2 linked regions of the Canis lupus familiaris genome follow. Each later gene encodes a partner of the first gene's protein in a complex. Links are inferred from orthologs where the notes say so. Each region holds a gene or a part of one and is shown in the gene's direction. Other genes may lie near its edges.

Region 1 (6,527 bases):
GACCCACCCCCAGGGAGCGACACTGTTGAGTTAATCTGGGATGGGGGAAATAGGGAAGTCACAGGGAGACTCAATGGGAAGGAGAATCTCTCAAAGGTCATGGAAATCATCCCCTACCACCTAGGCAGGGCCTGCATTGCACATTACAGAGAACATTATTTACATTGTAGTCTCTGTGAAGGGCCACCCCTGGAGCACAACCCCAAAGAGATTAGACATACAGTTCTCCCTGAGACTGTGTAATACAGGAGCCCTGAAGGGCATGTATCTCAGGACAACAGATGGGTCACAAAGGGCAAAAATAACTGATAGATGAGTGGGACGTCAGCATAGGGTCAGCATAGGGACCCTTTTATAGGGTTGGGAAGGAAGCATGCACTGAAAGATCAGTCACCTCAGGAAGGGCAAGGGGTCTCACAAGGACCACAGGCCTGCCAGGATTAGAGGACTGGAAGGTCAGTGGGCCATGGGGAAGTTCACACAAGGATCTGGGGTCACAAGGAAAACAAGGAAATGAAAGTGGAGAGGCAGTCAGTGAGCCATGACCTCTCACCTGGGGACTGCTGACAGGCCCGGAGAATCCTGGGGGAGCTGGAGGGGGCAAACCAGGGGACCCCATGGAAGAGCTGATGACTGGGAAGGGGGAGCCCAGTTGGGGGGGTGGCATCGGGGGTGGGGGTGGGGCCCCGGAGCCTCCAAGGGTTGGGGCTGATGAAGGGGGGAGGGGTAACCCAGGGGGAGAAGGGGGAGGAGCCCCCTGGGAAAGGGGATTCGGGGAGGAACTGTCTGGGCTTCGGGAGTCTGAGGGAAGGGTACATAGAGGCACAGAGACACACAGACAGAAAGACAAAAAGAGAAAATGAGTCTTAGATCATCCAACTGGAGACTTTAATTCTCTCTCTAACCCCCACTGCACCCCTCCACCCCACCCATCCTCGTGTCCAGAAACACCCGGTTGTCAAACAACGGTTTAACTCCTAATTGTGGTGAGAAGAGGGGGTTGACAAAAGACAGGAGAGTTCGGGTGAGAAAGAATTCCAAGCAATATACTTGGTCACCCCCAGCTAGGCAGATCTTATGTGGGTGGGGCAGCACGTGGGGTGGAACGGACAGCCCCTCCATTCCCAGCTTGAAGCCGGATCGTACAATGGAAAGGGGCGGAAGAGACCCTTCCTCGGACGCAGGATCTGCCTTCAAACGTCCAGAGCCCCCAAACTCGAGGACTCGTGTCCCACGCACGGGACCTCAGGACTGCAGGGCCTCAAACAGCCAAAGCCAGGAGGGCGGAAGCTCCCCCTCCCCGCCCCGCCCCGGGGGGGGAGGGCGCTAGGGCCCTCCGGAGGGAGGGGACGCGTGTTTACAAACAAGGAGGCGGGAGCGCCAGGGAAGGAGCGCCAGGGGACGGGGGGGAGGGGTCGCAGATAACGCGGTCACTGGTTCGCCTGTCCGTCCGCTAGGACACTCACCCCGCCCGCTGTCGCCCATCCCGTCCCGTCCAGCCTCCCCCGGCTCCGGCTCCGGGGTTTGTTGTTCTCCGGCTGCTGCCGCCGCCGCCGCCGCTGCGGGATCCAGCCAGGGCCGTCGCCGCCGCCACCGGGAGGCGACCCCACAATGCATTTCTTTTCGCACCCCCACCGGCCCACACTGCCCTGCGGCATGCCGCTGGGGGAGGAAGGGCGGGCGAGCGGCCCAAGACATGATTCTTGGCTGAGTGCAAGGATACCGAAGAGGTACCAGGGATTCCCAGATATTGACCGGGGGACCAGACGAGCACAAGGAAGCCCCAGAGAAAAAGACTCTAGCCTGAACCGGGTCGAATTAAGCACTTCGCTCGGCTCTGTACCAAAATGACAGCGACGATATGGCAGCCATCTTGGTATAGACGGGAAGTCTCCGCGCTAGTTCCCGCCCCCTCGTCTAGTTGGAAACGGAGGAGGCGGTCTCCTCAGCCCTGTTAGCCGGCCTCGCCCAGCCTCCCCTCAAATAACCTCCAGACTTGCGCATGCGCGCCAGAGTAGGGCAGCTTGGCGGCCTCCAGAGTGCAGCCATATTGGTAAAGGTATTGGGACCGAGGGGCGACGGAATTTCCTGTTCTCGCGGGAGCCAGAGGCAGGACTGCCACGTCCGAGCAAACCGGGAAAGGAGAGGATCCCGAAGCCGGTGAGAATTCCCTGCCTTGCCCTACTGTCCTTTCCAGGCCTTTTCCACTACCTAGTGGGTCATAGAGACTAGGGCCCAGAGAGTCCGTAAAGTGAAGGAAGAAGCCTAGAGCGATGTCCCGGGGGCCCTATATCCGGGAGGGGGTTGGAGATAAAGAAACCAAGTCTTGGGAGCAATGTGGGTGGGCATAGAGCGGAATGGGGGAGCGTCCCATAGAAGTGGACGGAGGGCACGAATGAAGTAAAGCTGACCCCGCATAGGTATAGAGTTGAGGGTCAAGTGGAGTCACTGTCTCTGTCCCCTCTGGTCAGCGTGATGGCCAGAGGCCTGGGGGCCCCCCACTGGGTGGCCGTGGGACTGCTGACGTGGGCGGCCCTGGGGCTGCTAGTGGCCGGACACGGGGGTCATGGCGACCTGCACGAGGACCTGCACGAGGACTTCCATGGCCACAGCCACAGGCGCTCACATGAGGATTTCCACCATGGACACAGTTATGCCCATGGCCATGGCCACACGCACGAGAGCATCTGGCATGGGCATACCCACGGTCACGAACATGGACATGCACATGAGGATTTGCACCATGGCCATAGCCATGGCCAATCACATGAGAGCCTCTACCACAGAGGACATGGACATGACCATGAGCATAGCCATGGAGGCTATGGGGAGTCTGGGGCTCCGGGCATCAAGCAGGACCTGGACACTGTCACTCTCTGGGCCTATGTGAGTCCCCAAGGGATAGGGGAGAGAGGGGCTGGTTCTGGATTGTTGGGAATCTCCACACCACTTGACCCCTGACTTTCCCCTCACCAGGCACTGGGGGCCACAGTTCTGATCTCTGCAGCTCCATTTTTTGTCCTCTTCCTTATCCCTGTGGAATCAAACTCTCCCCGGCACCGCTCTCTGCTCCAGATCTTGCTGAGTTTTGCTTCGGGTGGGCTCCTAGGAGATGCCTTTCTGCACCTCATCCCTCATGCCCTGGGTAAGTGATCCTTGGCAACTACTGCAAATCTTAATGTATTTTATTCTTTAGGCAAAAGGCTTCTTTCATCTTTGTCACCCCTGACTTTGCAGTATTCCCCCAAATGCACGCTACTTGGGCAGGCTATTCCCTCATTTGGCCTTTTCTCCCCCTTTCTCTAGAACCTCATTCACACCACCCTCTGGAGCAGCCTGGACATGGACATTCCCACAGTGGTGAGGAAGGGGTGGATGAAGATGTGTTGGAATGTTGCCGAATGGGACCATGTTTCCCTCCCAGAATGGGGCCATGTTTCCCTCCCTATTCTCTTGCACTTGGGGAAGAAGAGTCTGGAGTCCACATCTCCCTTAATGTCTCAATGCCTCTGTTTCCAGGCCAGGGCCCTATTCTGTCTGTGGGACTTTGGGTCCTCAGTGGAATTGTTGCCTTTCTGGTGGTGGAGAAATTTGTGAGACATGTGAAAGGAGGACATGGACACAGTCATGGACATGGACACACTCATGGTCATACACAAGGAAGTCATGGGCATGGAACACAGAGTAAGTCTAGGAAGAACTTTCCTTGAAAAACACCTTAGCTGCAAAAAGGAAGAGACTTCCTTTTTGGGGATATTTTTGGAGATCTCTGTTCTCCACTCTTAAACAACTTCTTCCCTCAGAGTATCCTTCAAAGGAGAAACAGAGCTCAGAGGAAGAAGAAAAGGAAGCAAATGGGTCTCGGAAGAGGAAAGGAGGGAGCACGAGGCTCAAAGATGGGCCACTGAGACCTCAGAATTCTGAAGAAGAAAAAACAGGTTCAGGTGAGAGCCAGGGTTATTGATAAACTTGGGTAAAGTGTATCATGTTTTACTTGGACTATGCACTGTGGATAATGGCAGCTGTCTGGAAAACATGAAGGGGCTGGTGTGAAGTGGTCTCTTGGGGGGAAGAGGTAATAATGGCTGATAAGGGCTAGAACTAGGGGTGTTAGATGCCTCTAATCATTTTGTCTTTCTTTCCACTTTTACAAGACCTACGTGTATCAGGGTACCTGAATCTGGCTGCTGACCTGGCACACAACTTCACAGATGGTCTGGCCATTGGTGCTTCATTTAGAGGAGGTCGGGGGCTAGGGATCCTGACCACAATGACTGTCCTGCTACACGAAGTGCCCCATGAAGTGGGGGATTTCGCCATCCTGGTCCAATCTGGGTGCAGCAAAAAGCAGGTTGGTGATGATGTGCATCAGACATGATTGCCTCGAACTCTACCTCCTACTCACCCATCCAAAACTCAGAATTGCCTCTCAGTAGTTCCAAACAAGTTGTACTGTTAAGAACAACAAATTCTCCAGAAATGAGGGCAGAGAAATTCTGTTTCTTTGTCCTTTGGCTGAGTATTTCTTGAACTATGCTCCACACTCCATCTGAATACTTTGAGGGTCTTTCACACTGCTCTCGACCCTGACCTACTCAATCAGAAGGTCTGGAAAGGATCTCCTTGGTATTTTAAGATTTTACGGAAAGTGTCTATTCTAGATCCTTCTCTTTTTGCCTTCCTTTTTAGTTCCCAGAGACATCCACCTTGTCCATATATACCTATACCCTACCAGCCATGCCTAACCACTGATCATATTTAGATGTTGTTGAGTGTCTTCTGTTTTTTTCTGCCCACCAGGCGATGCGTCTGCAACTACTGACGGCGATAGGGGCACTGGCAGGCACAGCCTGTGCCCTCCTAACTGAAGGAGGGGCAGTGGGAAGTGAAGTTGCGGGTGGCACAGGTTCTGGTTGGGTTCTGCCATTCACTGCAGGTGGCTTTATCTACGTAGCAACGGTGTCTGTGTTGCCTGAGCTGTTGAGGGAGGCATCACCATTGCAGTCACTTCTGGAGGTGCTGGGGCTGTTGGGAGGAGTTGTCATGATGGTGCTGATTGCCCACCTCGAGTGAGAGGTGGGGTAAACCACCCCCGCCCCAATCCCAAACCTCTAGCCTCTCTAAGCCCTCCAGGTCAGGGGTCTGTGGAGTTTGGGGGCCCTGGCCAGGGACATCTGCCGAAGGAAGTTGTATCGTAGGGAAGTGTTAACTTTGGCATTTGGGCCATCAAGATTTTGCAGTCTTAAAGGAGCTGCAGAAGTGAGAGTGAAAAGTCAGAACGACCATAGTGTTAGTAATGTGCTGACCATCTTGGGTTTGAGGCTAATTGAGGCCATGAAGACGGCTGGAAAAGAGAGGGGGGTGTTGACAGCCTACTCGGTGTACCCTACGCAACCTGTTTTAGAGGACCAAGCCAACCACACAGGTTTCTCCGAGGTCCGCCTCCCCCTCTCACCTGTTGGTGGAAGCTTCAGGGAAGATCAGAGCCCTGGAAAGAGGCAGTAGCAGGAGGAGTCAGGGATATACATCAATTGAACATCAATCGTGTGTCCTGATTTGGGAGTGATTGAGGGAGGAGGTGGGTTGCTAATCTCATGGCCTGATTTTTTTTTTTTTTCCTATTGATATCACTGTTAGAATCGAGGGGTAGGGGTGGTGACCGGAAATAAAGTCCTCGGATCTTCCGCCCCACATGCGGTCTTTGTCTTTTTTGGGAGAATGGGGGCCCCTCATCTCGCGACTGCCCAGGCCCCCAAGTGGTGGTGTCTGGCCACGCCCCCGCGGTGGGAGGTCGGCCTGCGCTGGTGGCCGCAGATGGCCCCGCGCTGGTCGCGCCTAGATTGGCGCGGCTGCGCCCTGGCCACGCCCCCTGGCTGGGATTGGCTGAGTGCTGGGTGTCCGCCCGCCCGCCCGCCTGACATGGCGTCTCCGCTCAGGCTCCGCTCCGCGCTGGCCCTGGTCACAGGTTGAGGGGATGCTACCCCCGGGCGGGTTGGGGTGCCGGAGTGTTGTCGGGGTCATGCCCTCGGCGCCTGCAGCTTCTGTGACCTCTGGCCCCTGGTCCAGATTTTCCTAATTTTGCGCCCTGTTGACCTGTGACCCCTGCCCACTCGTCCCTTTCTCCCCCTCCGCGTGTTGTCTCCCACTTCAGGCGCGGGTAGCGGCATCGGCAGGGCCGTCAGTGTACGCCTGGCCAAAGAGGGGGCCACTGTGGCCGCTTGCGACTTGGACCGGGCGGCGGCTTGCGAGACGGTGTGGCTGCTGGGCGGGCAGGGGAGCGAGAAGGTGGCGCCCGGCAGGGCCCACACCGCCTTCCAGGCTGACGTGTCTGAGGCCGGGGCGGTCAGGCGCCTGCTGGAACAAGTACAGGTGAACGCGACACGACCTCGCTCTCTTTAACGAGCTGGCATGGCCTCCACTGCCCGGGCTTGGGTTTTGGGTTTTGGTGTGTAACCGCCCCCTTCCACAGGCCTGCTTTTCTCGCCCGCCATCTGTCGTCGTCTCCTGTGCAGGCCTCACCAGGGATG
Region 2 (6,563 bases), on another chromosome or scaffold:
TATGACAGAAATTGTATCAACCAAGTTCAGATAAAAATCCCCATTAAAATAACTGCTGAATATTTACTAATTTGATTTTTTAAGAGGTCCTTAGTGCTTAATTACCACAGGGCACATCTACTGAATATACTGGGGAATACTTGCATCATTCTCTGACACTACAAAACACGAAGAAGTATTAAAAAAAAAAAAAAAAAACAAATCCATAAAATGAGGTCGATGAAAACGTGATTTATGAGTTCTTTTTAGACTATGATTTCTTCACGGAGATGACAGTGACCAACAGCGACGAACACATTTTGTGTCCTCTACAGATCCAGTCCCTTTTTCTATGGGTTCCTTTCACATTATATTTTGTCACTGAAAAGAGAACATGAAATGTAATCTGTAGCTGATAAGAACAATTACAAAAAAAGGTACCTTTGCTTAGAGTTCTAGAGAGGAAAGTGATCCAGTCAAGATTTTGGGCCTGTGCACAGAGCTACGACATAAGTGAGACATCTAAACTCCTCCTGGTCAGGAGGGCAGTGAGCAGGTCAGTACAGAACGCTGTCGTTTATGTATCTTTGGGATATCACTGACTGCATTTGAAAGCCATGTAAGAAAGGATATTGGCTGGTTTTTGGCTTCTCATGTTATCTGCCTCTTCGCCTCTCCATTATGGATAACTGAGGTTTTTAATTGAGGTTTTAATATACAGTAGTGACATTCTAGAAGATGAAGGAAGGGGGCAGTCCCTGAGGGCAATCTGAACTTCTGCTTAGTATATTTACTCTTGCTGTTTTCCTTCCTCCTCATTTGTAATTCAGGAGGCTCTCTGAGAAGAGAGAGACAGCAAAGCTTCTTAGATGGATCGAAGGATCACGAGCTGGGATACCAAGTTCTATGAAAAGGTCTGCTATTGAATTTGCTCTACCTTTAGGCAGATCATTTGATCGTGTTGTGCTTTGGTTTCTTCCTGTGCTTGCTTGCTAAACGTAAATAACATGTATTTGACTATTTTGTGATTATTATAGAGTCTTTTAAATGTGTGGATGATTCATTTTTCCAGGCCAGCTGCTCAGGTATAAAATGAAAATCTGCTCCTTTGAGATGCTAGGCTCTACGGCCGATAAAATGAAAATCTGCTCCTTTGAGATGCTAGGCTCCATGGCCGTCAACTGACCTCCAAATCCTTAGGAGTTCAGCAGCCATCTAGTTGCTTCTTGTTCATCTGACACAGTTTACAGTCTCTGAGCTGTGGCTCCTCAAGTTTATTCTGTAGTTGGGGGGCAAACCTTTTGTTTCCTTTGTTTTCAGAAATGAAATGTCACTTTATATACTCTTGCTGTTTTCACCCTCCTCTTCCCACTACCCCCCTCTAGAAATACGAAGGCTTTCTTTTGGCACAGACAGAGCTCCTTTATCTCACACTGATTTCAGAGACAGGAGGGAGAGGTGACCTGGTAAACAAATCGTATTATCTGGACTGGCTAACACAGTTGCCTTTTGATGATTTGGGCCAGGGACCACTAGAGGTTTGAACTAGACTTAGGAAGGTTCAGGCTCTTTGCAGTTTTGGGAGGAAGCAGTCAGGGAGTATACTGAAAAGAGAGAACACAAAGTATCCTCCCCTGCCCCCCCCCACCCCATGTTTTTGTTAGTTAGTTATAGCCTACCTCATGTTAAGCAACAAGGTGTCCCTGTTCGACAAGTGCCAAGCTGAGATTCTCAGAACCTACTTTAAACGTTTGTGGGTAAAGAACAATTTTGTTCTTCACCATGCCACCGTGGCATAAATGACCATCTCTGAAGTGCAATATCAGAGTAAACGGAAAGGCTTCTTACTTTCTTTTGAACTAAAAAAAATTTTTTAAATGTATTTACATTATTTCTAGTGGAGTTCAATTAAAAGCAGTTTCTAAACAAACCTGGGAAGCTAGAGAGCCCGTGAAATTATGTTAACTCCTTAGTTGTAGCTTGGAGGTATAGCAGCAGGAAGGACTTCAGACACAGGAACACCGTGTGACCCCTTCGGTTCTGAAACGTTGCTAGGGCTCCTGTGCTAGAAAGGATCAAAGAAACATCGGGTAAATACTGCTCCTAGAACCCAGTTCGCTGGAAGAGCGTTGGTTGGGTCCAAATTTCCGTTCAAGGAAACAGGCAAGGGAGTCTAATTGAGGAGGGGTAGCGGGGGTGGGGGTGGGGTGGGGAGAGGCGGGGTTGTGTCTTCATTCTCCGACAGGGTCATCGATACATTAAAATATTACTTGCGGGTGCCCCGGCTGCAGGAGCTTCCAACAGTGGCAGAGCTTTCACGGATGCCTCTTAGAAGCTGCACCCAGCAACCTGCCAGGCGTGCGGGACGGGACTGGGAGGAGGGGTTGCTGATACCCGGTCTCCCCGAGATTCCCGGCGGCTTTGCCGCTGCAGCAGAGGCGGGTGGAGGCCCTGGGGGGTGGGGGCCCGGCTCGTCGGCTCTAAACGTAAACAGGACACTGTTTACCAACTGGCAGCGTCCGTCCCCGGCGAGGTGTCGGGTCTGACAGTCTGGACGTACAGACCGCAAGGAGACACCCTCTCCTCGCCCCCCCCCCCCCGCCCTCCTCCGGGGTCCGTCTGCACAACCGGCTGCAAGTCCTGCTGGGGTCCGGGAGTGGGGGCGCCCGGAGGCAACGACAAAAGCGAAGAAAGACCAGAAGCGCTGAGGGCACCACCTTAGAGGGGCCGGGACGCTTCAGTAACTCGCTTCGGAAGAAGCACCCCCTCCTACCCTAAGAAAGCGAGCAATCCTCTCCACCATTACGCAGGCGGAAGGCGGGGACGCGCGCCCGGCGACTGCGCGCTCCCTTTGTCCCGCTCCCCCCGCCGCCGCCGGAGGCTCGCGGAGCCGGGGGAGCGCGCCGCCGCGTCCCGTAAGTGCTCCGGGCGGAAACCGGTGCCGGCGGCTGCGGCGTTCCGCGGGCGGAAAGGAAAGGGGGGGAGGCAGGAAGGGTGCGCGCCGCCCGCTCCTCCCCACCCCCCCGCCCCCCCGCCCCCCCGCCTCGGCCCTGCAGGGGCTGGATGGGCAAGTTGGGCGCGATGGCTCGAGCCCGGGCGGCGGCGGCGGCGGCCGGAGGCGGCGGCGCCTCCTCCTCCTCGCCCCGGCGCCGGCGGTGATCCGAAGGAGCGGCCGCGGCCCCCGATGAGACTGTTCGTGGGCTGGCTGTGCCTGAGCCTGGCGTCCGTGTGGCTGGCGCGGAGGATGTGGACGCTGCGGAGCCCGCTCACCCGCTCCCTGTACGTGAACATGACGAGCGGCCCCGGCGGGCCGGCGGCGGCCGCGGGCGGCAGGAAGGAGAACCACCAGGTACGCGGCCCGGCGGGGGCGGGGGCGTGGCGGCCGGGCCTTCCCGCGCGGCCGGGCTATTGTGCGGGGCTCCGCGGCCGCAGCCGCCGCCTCCCGCCCCCGCGGGCTGTCGCCCAGTCGCCTCGGCCCTTCGGAAAGTTTTCCCGACGTCTCCCCGGCCGGGCGCCGCCTCCGGGCCCCGCGGGCGCCTTTTGTTCCCGGGCGCGGGCGGAGCGCGGCCTCCCGGTCCTCCCCGGGCCCGGAGCCCCGCATTGTTCCCGGGCCGCGGGCGGCGGTCGCAGGCGCAGGGGCGCCCGGGGTGCGGGACCTTAGGGGCGGGCGCGGGGCCGCGGGCATCCACCGGGCACCGGGGCCTGCGGTCTGCACCACCGGGCCGAGCCCGTGACCCGCGCGACCCGCGGCCGCCGCCGGCCTCACCCCCACCTCCCACCCCGCACCCCGCACCCCAACCCTTGTTTGTCTGCTTCAATCTCTCAACATACAAAGGGCCATAAAGAAATGTAACCGTGCATCGTGAGCCTTTTTAAGTCTCTGGGCTTAAGCGGCTGACATTTTTCCCTCTGCAGTTAAATTAAAAAAAAAAAAAAAAAAAGGGTGTTTGACAGGTCCTCACACTCCCATCCTCCTGAGCCTCCCCCCCACCCCCTCCACTCCTCCCTAAGAGAGAGAGAGAGAGAGCGAGCTCTCCTTGCAACTTCAGTGTTTTGGTATCTGACCAGAAAGATGTGGTAAGAAGGAAGATGATGCAAGCTTTTCCTGGAAGGGATTTTTTTTTTTTGTTTTGTTTTTTGTTTTTTGTTTAAACAAAACAGAATTAGGCAGGAGTGAATTCTTTTTAGAGTTGCGGATCGTGAGCTCTGCAATGTGACCGGTTAGGGTGGTCTTTTCATGATAGTTTTGTGCCACTCCACAGAAGTATGTGTGCAGGTCAGCTGTAGAAGGAAGAGTGGAGGAAAATTTAAAAAAAAAAAAAAAAAAAAAGGAAAAGTGACATTTCATATTTGACCGTAATGTAGTGTGTGGTTAACCCTGCCTTCATTGAGAAGAGGCTTTCTAACTCTGCCAGAGTGCTGGCCTAGGATTGCTAGCGTCTATAGTACATCTTGCCTTTGCAAGGAGCAGGAAGCGATTATTCCCCATTTTGCGTCTCATCATTTTTCATAGATTTTTGTTTGTTTGTTTTTCCTGTGTTACAGCATTTATTATGCCAGGCGTTCGGAGAGTTTACACGTGAAGAATTATCTAAGGACTTAAAGCAATTCATTAAGAAAAGTAGCGGTTTAGTTTCTATCTAGTAATTACCGGTCACGGCCCCTTTTCTGTTTTTCAAGGAAATAATAAATTTCCACGAAAGAAAAAAATTGTTTTCTGTCGTGACCCCACAGCTCTTGCAATTTGTCAGGGAATCATGCCTATGGTATTGTTGGGAGTGTGTACCTAAAGTCAGTAGGTGATCTTAAGCTGTAAAACCACATTCTTTGCTGTGGGTTAATTGCTTAACACTTATCCTTCTCAGAGAAACGACTCTAAAGTACCGCAGTGATAATGTAGTTACCAAAATGTCACACATCCGTATGGATGGTGGTGTAAAACAATGAATTAGAAATGTCATTTTCAACAATTGGTAGAAAGAAGGTTCTGGGTAGGATAAAAAGGAGACTGATTTCCATTGATGTGGAATTATGGTTCGAATCTCTTAGCTGTAGGTGTTTATGATTCTTGTCTTGATTACTTCTACTATAACACACTTGATATGTTTTCACTGCTTGTAGAAAAATTGGTTATATTTTAAAAATTGAGAAGCTGATTAAGTAATTTGTTTTTTGTGGAGTGTAGTTAGAATATATATATATCCTTAGCATAGCCTCAGAATATCTCCTAACAGGGGATACCTTCTAATCGTGTACCTTTTTAAAACTGAATCAGTTAGGTTCTGAGGAAAACTAATACTGGTTTCAGATACTTCGTTTACTTTGTTTCGCTTCTGAGCTACTCAGGTATGTGTGTACACAGGTGTGCTTTAACCAGTTGGACTAACAGTTTGGCAGCTAAGTTCTCCAGGTGAAGACTAATCTGGTACTCTCTGAATATTTAGGGGGAGATTGGCTCTTTTCCATAGAATGATCAATCCAGACATTATTTTGAGATGAGACATTGACATTATGAAATATTGCCTATGAATAAAGATAAAAATGAACAAAAGAAATGTGTATGTAGAAAGCATGGTGAGATAAAGTGAAAGAGGACGCTGTCCGCTCTGCAGAGTGTCTGTTTATGGTTTGTTATCTGCTTTATATTGCAGCATCCTAGGTGTGCCTCATAAACTATCTCACTTATGAAGTAACTTAACACTAATATTCTTTCCCCCTTCAAATTTATAGTTTCATCTAAGGTTTTCTGGTGTTCATTTGGGTGTGTGGGATCCATCGCCAGCCACATCTGGTTCTTTTGGACTTGCATGAAAGTGGGGTTATGGATTTAATTGAACTGTACTTAGCACAAGTTTTCTTTATGGTTATTTTATTAAGAAATTATGGTGGAGGAGTCTGGTTAAAAGAGTTCTTGGGAAATGTTTATCATTAAAAATTGCTATTTAGTTACTATTGCCTGGAGGTGAAATATAAGGCTCTTTTGAGCTAAGGTTGCTCTAAAACTATAGTAGCAGCACCATTTTAATAACTTGGTTGGTGTGCTAGCTTCAAATCTGGGATTATTTTTTCACTTTGGGCAAGAGAATAGCACGGAAGGGCTTGTCTTGGAGCTGGGATATGGCTTGCAGGCCAAATTGGGCTCACTGACTTTTTTGTTATAGCCTATGAAGTCAGAATAGTTTAACATTTTTAAATGGTCACAAAAAATATATTTTGTAATATGTGACAGTTTCTTTTATGAAATTCAAATTCCAGTGTCCACAAATAAAGTTTTGTTGGCACAGCCACCACCTTCATTTACTTACTGTCTGTAAGGGCTTCCTCACTAACAATGGCAGACTTGATTGGTAGGTACTACAACCTACAAGCCTTAAGTATTTATTGTGTGTCCCCTTACAGAAAAAGAGTTTTCCCCAGAGAAAATTTCCAGCTTCCTTCATCAGCAGCACATTTCTTAATCACAGGTTGCACAGTGGGTAGTTTGACTCATTGGGAAGAAATAGAGCCAGGCAGTGAGAAACTAGATATGTCGCTTTTTGGTATGGGCAGGCTTAGAACTTAAAAAGAAGGTAGCAACAACAAAC

Evidence for each region.
Region 2: the proteins of SLC39A7 (region 1) and METTL9 are in contact, whole or in part, in a crystal structure (PDB 8GZE), measured with the Homo sapiens proteins. The link is inferred for Canis lupus familiaris from reciprocal best matches to the Homo sapiens genes SLC39A7 and METTL9. Residues at the interface, in NP_001070984.1 of Homo sapiens: Gly65, His66, Thr67, His68, Glu69; in NP_057109.3 of Homo sapiens: Arg114, Thr115, Asn118, Arg123, Gly124, Met126, Met179, Asn210, Asp213, Arg214, Val241, His245, Tyr247, Glu249, Trp255, Tyr295, Leu296, Cys297, Glu298, Asp300, Tyr306, Val307, Leu308.

The regions. Positions count from the first base shown.
Region 1 is NC_049233.1:2,816,699-2,823,225, forward strand, and holds SLC39A7 (zinc transporter SLC39A7 precursor), read left to right. Parts: upstream 1-2,094; 5' UTR 2,095-2,475; coding exon 2,476-2,886; intron 2,887-2,976; coding exon 2,977-3,145; intron 3,146-3,306; coding exon 3,307-3,360; intron 3,361-3,519; coding exon 3,520-3,684; intron 3,685-3,803; coding exon 3,804-3,944; intron 3,945-4,154; coding exon 4,155-4,351; intron 4,352-4,800; coding exon 4,801-5,073; 3' UTR 5,074-5,691; downstream 5,692-6,527. Other genes in the region: RXRB (retinoic acid receptor RXR-beta), read right to left, coding at 1-35, 554-801, 1,467-1,698; HSD17B8 (estradiol 17-beta-dehydrogenase 8), read left to right, coding at 5,920-5,965, 6,152-6,369, 6,470-6,527. UniProt on the Homo sapiens protein: Transports Zn(2+) from the endoplasmic reticulum (ER)/Golgi apparatus to the cytosol, playing an essential role in the regulation of cytosolic zinc levels.
Region 2 is NC_049227.1:23,463,150-23,469,712, reverse strand, and holds the start of METTL9 (methyltransferase-like protein 9), read left to right. Parts: upstream 1-3,040; 5' UTR 3,041-3,163; coding exon 3,164-3,328; intron 3,329-6,563. UniProt on the Homo sapiens protein: Protein-histidine N-methyltransferase that specifically catalyzes 1-methylhistidine (pros-methylhistidine) methylation of target proteins.